Linked DNA regions of Caenorhabditis elegans. The gene in region 1 interacts genetically with each later gene. Each region holds a gene or a part of one and is shown on either strand. Other genes may lie near its edges.

What was found.
Region 2: of mom-5 (region 1) and tam-1, changing one enhances a phenotype caused by changing the other (phenotypic enhancement), as found in Caenorhabditis elegans (one large-scale study listed by BioGRID).

The regions. Positions count from the first base shown.
Region 1 is NC_003279.8:9,963,763-9,967,519, reverse strand, and holds the start of mom-5 (Protein mom-5), read right to left. Parts: upstream 1,941-3,757; 5' UTR 1,880-1,940; coding exon 1,407-1,879; intron 914-1,406; coding exon 543-913; intron 479-542; coding exon 340-478; intron 1-339. UniProt on the Caenorhabditis elegans protein: Receptor for Wnt proteins.
Region 2 is NC_003283.11:4,961,449-4,965,205, reverse strand, and holds the start of tam-1 (RING-type domain-containing protein), read left to right. Parts: upstream 1-2,103; 5' UTR 2,104-2,211; coding exon 2,212-2,247; intron 2,248-2,303; coding exon 2,304-2,415; intron 2,416-3,137; coding exon 3,138-3,757.

The sequences.
Region 1 (3,757 bases):
CGATTTTCCGGAAACGGGGTTTTTTTCATTTAAAATTTGGTTTAAAAAAAATATTTTTTAGATTTTTGTTACTGAAAATTGTCGAAAATCATAAATGTAATTTTTTTCTGAAAAATTACACTCGAAATTATAAAAATTAAAATTTTTATCAAAATATTCAAAAAGTTCTTTAAAAAAAAAATGTTTCAGTTGTCGTTTTTTTGTTGAAAAATGTGTTTGAACAAAAGAAAAACATGCCGATTTTTTTTCGAATGCACATTTTCAAAACCAGTTTTCTATTTGTGGTACAAAAAACGGTACTTTTTTCGTTAAAATACAAAAATTAACGAAAAAACTCACCACGCACAACTTGACATGAAGAAAAAGTAATGAACAACAGCAAGAGCACTACATCCAACATTTTCTCCTCCTTGCGTAACAAGTGTTGTTGGAGTAGATCCATACGTTCCACAAGCGAATCCATCTTCACCGACTACGCCTGTAGAAATACATTTTTAGTTTCTAAAAAATCTGATTTAAAAAAAACAGAAAATTCAACTCACCTATCATATAAACCGTAGAAATTGCTAGATAACAGAACGCGAGATACAAAATCGGTCGAACTGGATACGCGAATCGTGATAAATCAACAAGAAATGTGACAAGAGTGAATAAAGAGCACACGAAACATGCCACAGACCATGCTGCTGTCCAGATTCGAAGAATTCGTCGAACACGTCCATCAAACATCATTGGTACTTGATTGTCAGCTTCACATGTTAATGAACATTCAGGAAGGCGTCCACTGAGAAGAGGCAATGAAAAATGAGATCCGCTTGTTGTATGCATATGATGAGGGCATTTTTTTGGAGAAAGGACAACTTCGTTGGCAATTGTTGAAACACCGAATGTGACGTCATTACTACTTCTGTAACTTGAAATATTTTATATTTCGATCTACGGAAACTTGTTTTATTGTTCGATAAAACAAAGAATTTAGAAATCTCGATGTACATTTTTTTCGGAAAATTTCTAAATTCAAAAACTTTGATAAAAAACTATTTGACGCTTTGGAGTAGGAGTTTTTATGGGGCTCAAAAATTCGGAATAATACTTAAATTCAGCCAAACTTGTCAGTATCACAGCGGCCGTAAATTTAATTTTCAGAGAGCTTTTTTTTTTTGAAAACTCTTACGAGGTTCGGTCTTTGCAGGCCATTCTGAATTTATTATTATTTTTCTTTAAATGCAAAACCGATGATTTTAACTGAATTTACAATTTAATTTCTCGCTGTATTTAAAAAAAGGATTCTAGAACGGTTCCCGTAAATTTAAACTTTAATTCATGTTTTGGGTACTTTTGAAATTTTTGTTGTAAATATATATCAATTATAAATTCTTATTCATAAAATTATGCAGAAAACCCACTTTTTAGAGTTGCTCGACTCGCTGGAATTCTTGCCAACACACAAATCAGTTACTGGGAATTTGTTACAATCCAATTGATCTGGCCATTGAAATCCAAACTTTTTCATTAATGACTCGCATCCATTTTTTGCAGATAAACACAATTCTCGACATGGTTGAATTGGTTTTTCGAGTACTGTACAGACAGGTGCATAGACAGTACAAAGAAAGAGACGAATATCTTCTGAGCATTTAACTTTAATTAATGGATTGAATTGCGCAATTGCTGGACCAGCTTCAGATTGTGTTGTATGTCCGAGAAGATTTGGAAATACTGTTTGATTGTAATCCAGATTTTTGCACATTGGAATTGTAATATGTTCACATTTTCGAGTTGTTGAGAATCCATTCATCGATGAAATTGAAGTTGATGAGAGTCGTTGATCAGCTGATAAGCATCCGAATAAAAATAATATCAGAATATGTCGATGCATTGTAATTGATAGTTTTGAAGAGATTTCAGATTGACAAGTGTTAGTTCATAGCAGGATTCGTCTGAAAATATAAAAAATTATTAAAGAAATAGTTTTTTTGGTTATATGTATAGAAGAAGTTCAACATTATTTAGTTAATAGTTTGTGAAATGGAGAGAACAAAATTCTAGAAAAATGATTTTTGGCAAAATTTGGAAAAAAAACCGAACTTAAGTAAATAGCTAAAATCTTTTTCAGAAAAAATCGAAAAAAAATGTTTAGAAAATTAACAAAAAGTGAAATTTTTAATGAGTTGTTGATGTGGATAAACATTTTCAAAAAATTCTTCTAAACGGAGGAAAATGGCCAACAATTTTAGATATTTTACGAAAAATCTTTTTTTTTCTCGAAATATCAGAAAACCAACACAAATACTTTCCGGCAGTTGGCAAAGATGACACATTAAAAATTTTGGCTAAATTTAGGGATTTCTCTTCGAAACATTTTCTATAAACATTTTTTGGAAGGTTTTATTGGAATTCAAAATAGAAGACTCGGTCCATAAATTGACCTTCAATTGATGAGAAAACATTGAATTTTCAAAAAAAGTGAAATGGTGTAATGTTGACATTGGTTCCAAGTGCTAAATCGAATCAATGAATCGTGAAATTATAGTGAGAAACGTGGCAAAGAAAGACAAAGAATAGTAGATTTCGGTATCTAAGTGAATCTAATCTTTAGATTACTGTACAACATGCCTCTAATCTCTTTTTTGTAATACTCTCTCGTTACGCAACTTCCGAGAGAACGGAGCACACACACACAGTAAAGAATAATTACGGCTCGGAATTCGAGAGTAATTAATGATGATGATGAGCACTGACCTAATGAAAAGATCGAAAAAGAGTGAAGAGACACAGGCCACCTGCTGCTCGAGTGTCAAATGGGCAATGAACATGCAAACGGATGAGGGAGGAAGGATTCAAGAATTTTCAAACAGTGATTCATTTCGAAAATATTCTTGTTATTGTTTGGAGAGAATTGAGGAAAATATAGATGAGAATCGAATTGAGAAAAACGGGGACGATCGATCTGTAGAAGAGATAAGAGCAATGACCTAACTGGTAGAATTTTTTGGCATTTCGGAAATTAGTTTTTAGTTTTTAAATATTTAAGTTGAAGAAAGCAAAGAAAACATTTAAAACAAATTGTCTGAAATCAACGATATTCTTAAGCAAAAGGACGCAAAATATTGCACCAAAAATACGGTACCAGGTCTCGACACGATAAAGTTTTGTTTGCGCCTTCAAGGAGTACTGTAACTCGCATTGCTGCGGATTGTTTTGATTTTATATAGGTAAATTCATGGATTTTCATTGTTTTAATCAAGTTATTTAATAAATCAATATTTTCTATCGGAAAACTATAAAAAATCGATGGAAATTCCGCAGCAAAGTTTAAAGTTACAGTACTCTGTCAAGGCGCACAGCTTTCTACATTTATCAAAAATTTGGCGCGTCGAGAGGTACCGTATTTTTTGCTAAAAATCGCAGAATCGAGCCTGAAAATTATATAAATAATTTAATTGTTTTCGAAATTCAAAAAAAGATGCCAGAAATTTAATATCGACGAACTCGAGGAGCACATAAACATATTATTTGAACTTTTGAATAAACTTTTCCAACATCCGAACTGGGAGGCCGAGTTTCGCAATGTGAAGAGCCAACATACACGTCTCGTGCCGGAGATGGGTGTCAAATTCAATTCCCGAATCAAATCAAATGAACAAATAGGCCCGTCGTTTCGATGAAAAAGAACTGACGAGAGCAACACAACTGGGAGCTTGTGACCAGAAGAAAATGGAGCAAACGAGTGATTTGTGATTGATAACGGAAATGA
Region 2 (3,757 bases), on another chromosome or scaffold:
GTTCTTCTCTGATGCAATAGTCATCATCGTTTTTTTGTTCAATATTCAACCAAGAAATAATCCCATTCAATATTATGTTTTGACACACAAATCGCATATGTCTTATCATTTTCAATGCATTTTGTCAAAAGAGACCCCTAGAGGGTATTAGAAAGACGAGTGGAATGGAAATTTTTGTACCCCCATCCTCACCACACAAGTCTCCAGACACATACACTCTGTATTGTTGCACAATGCCACTCTCTTTGTTATTTTCCTTTTTAAAAGCTATTACGCAATTGTGTTATTGATGTGTAATCAATGTGATCACAAAATAATAACATTGCATCAGTATTGTTGTCAACTGAAATGTTTTCCTAGCGGAATTAGAAACATGCTCTCTCTCTCTCAACAACGTAAAAGACGACGATAAGAATCAATATTATGATTTGACCTATTCTGCGTCTCTAAGCACACAGATGTTTTTGTCAAACATCAGAGCGACGGTGCCGAGGTATTCGTTCGTCTGTCATCATCGGTCTTCTTCTTCTTCTCACTTCACAACGTTTTTATTAAATTTCCATCCTTTTCTCTAGTTGCCTCTTCTTCGACGCCTGCAACCTCTCTCCTCTCGCCATAAAATCATCTAAATTGAGCCTCCACCAGCACTTCAATTTGCATTCCATTCCCTCCGGTGTCTTGGTCCAACTGCTGTTATGTATTCTTCGCAATTACCGAACACCTTTTGTCTTTAAGGAAGTCATGCTCTCTGTCGAGCAGCTGTGTGGTGGTTGCTTTAATCCGAGCCACCACGGCTCGCGCGCGGAGAGCTCAATGAAAAATAATCATGACCCTCGGTGGCTGCTGCCGCCCCGTGGGATGTGTCTGCCGGACGGGAAGGTTCGTTTTCTTCCCCCCGTCTCGGTGTAAACCAATAGAGAAGTGGTGGAGATTATCCCGGTGCACACACACACACACATACACATATGACAGACAACCATTCTCATCGATTTTCCGTCTTCGTTTTTCGTCACCATTTCTTTCTTTCCAACTGCGAGACCTATTATCCTATTATCGTGGTCCCCCCTGAAACAATCGAAGCGAGGAATAGACGCGTTGTCTTTTCACTTGATTCATGCACGCACAATTTGATGAATATATGACCCGACTCTTCTTCTTCTTTCCACTCTTTTCTCACTTTAATTTTCGTCGGCTCTCTTATTTTTCTGGGTTTTTATTCATTCAATCTCGCAATTTTTCAAAAAATTGCCAAAAACTACTGTATTTCTAAAGGCGCATGGACCATTGTTGAATTTGGTTCTCGCCACGATCTGAACTACGGTTGATGATTAAGCCGAAATTGATCTATTTTTCTCCAACTTTCGTCAATGAATCATAGTTTTTACAAAAAAAAATTTTGGAAGTATGTTTTAAATTCATTTATTCAATAATTTGAATTCAGTTTGAAAATAGAATACGATTTTTAACACAAAACTCAAAAAAAAAATCGCAAAACCCTACCGTACATTTTAAAGGCGCATGACCCAATTTATAATTTGGGTCTCGCCATGATCAAACTACGGTTGATTAATAAACATTTTTTATTTTTCTTTTTCTCCGATTTTTTCCACTTTTCCGCCGATGAATCATCAATTTTCATCAATAAAATGCCTGAATACAACTTAAAAAAATTATTTTACAATATTTTCTCGTGTGTTTGCCCAGAAAATGACATTTTTCAGTCTTTTTTTCGTAATATCACAAAAACAAACTTTTTTTTTTCTTGCAGCGCGAGATTCTTCTTATTTCGTAAATAGCATTTCGAAATTTTTTAGTCTTTTCGTATTTTTCACAGCGAAAACATCAAAAGAGATCACTCACTCACAAAACAAATTTCCTCCAGTCTTTATTGATTTAGACAGCAATTTTCTCAATCATAAACACGCCATCTCTCGTGCACCCTCATCCTCATCCACCCAAAAAGCCCCTTTTCATCGCAAAGTGCTTGTTTTGTCTGTGTCTCTCTCTGTGCGTTTTCCTCTCTCACTTTTTGATTCTTTGCAACTACGCCCCACAGCGTTCTCCCCGTTCGTTTTTCAAACATTATTGATTTTTCTCATTTTTTTTCAGGGTAATTTGGATTCCGCCTGACGGGCAAATCGGGTTCAAAACCGATTATTCACATTTTTATTGGAATATTTGAATATATTTTTGTATAAATAAAAAGCAATAATGGACATTCCGGGCACAAGTGGTACCAGTAATTATGTAAGTTTGTGTGAAAATAAAAATGATTAAAATCAATATAATTTTTGAATTTTCAGCAACAATGGGCTCACGTCGTCGAATGCCCGATTTGCTACAACATTTATGATAAACCGATGCAGATGGGATGCGGACACACGCTATGCTCAACGTGTATTGGAAGATTGGTAGGTTGATTGATAATTTTGAGCTTTTTCAGGTCGAAATGGTCAAAATTTGAAGGGAAAGTTATATTTTCTGCCGTTTTTTTAAACAAAATTCTCAGTTTTTTGCTTTTTTTTTAACAGAAAAAGGTAATTTCTGAGATACAAATCACATTTTCAGGCATTTTCATGTCATTAAAGCGTTTTTGAAGTTAAAACCACGCTTTTTCTCGAAATTCGACTTAAAAAATGTCATTGTTCTGACATTTTCAGTGATTTTGAGACGCTTGGAGCTAAAATTCATATATTTTTACTGATTTTCCACTTAAAAGTTCAATTTCTTCTTGAAATTTGAGAAAAAAAAAACGATTTTTATGTTTTTCTGAAAGTTTTCACAATTTTCTGCAATTATTAAACGTTTTCCTATGAAAATTAATGCCAAAATATAGAAAATCACTTGGTTTATCGGGAAGTAACATTTATTTCAGCTGAAACATTGAGGAATTCGCCAATTTTGAGCACTTTCTTTGAGATTTTATGTGGAAAAATGATATTTTCAGATAAATCAACTGATTTTCTATATGTTGAACTATTTTTTGATAAAAAACGTGATAAAATTGGTAATTTACCTGAAGTGACCTCTAGAAAACGCGTGGCAACCTTATTTTACAAAATAAATTTGCTATTTTCTAGCAAATTTTCATATTTTTAACTTCTTCCATCTCCAATGAAACTTAAAATTACAGGTAGATCAAGTGAAAACCAACATGGCAGAAGAACTCGGCCGCCCACGTGGCCCACTTCTACATCCCGACGATATAGGTCCAGGCTTCGGAGGCCTTGGCGGGTTTGCCGATCAGGAAGATCAACCACATTTCATAGATCTTCCCCGTCTAGATCCACGAATGAACCCAAACGATCCGAATATGGTGCGTGGAATTGTAGTCCTACCGAGACGTGGACCAGAAGCTCGCGCCACAGAGATCAAGTGTCCAGAGTGTAGAAAGCCGACGCTGGTGCCGGCGGATGGCCTACCTGTCAACTATCGAGTTCAGGAAATTGTGCAAAAAGTTGCTCCACTCTTCAAGGATCGCCATCTGGTCAAGCTGTGCAATCAGTGTGAAGCTGTTCTCAGTCAGGGTGTCTATTTCGATTGTTCACAGTGTGAGGAGACTGGCCGAAAGATCTGTTCGACATGCGCGATCCGATTGCACAATGGACATCAGCTGGTTGAGAAGAAGGCGCTGACGTCGGATGATGTTCGAGAGATGAAGCAAAAGATCAGTGATGCATCACATGCTGCATTTCAATCGCTTGAAAATTTGAAGCCAAGACTGCAATCTGTTGGTGGAACTATAGAAGCAAAAGCT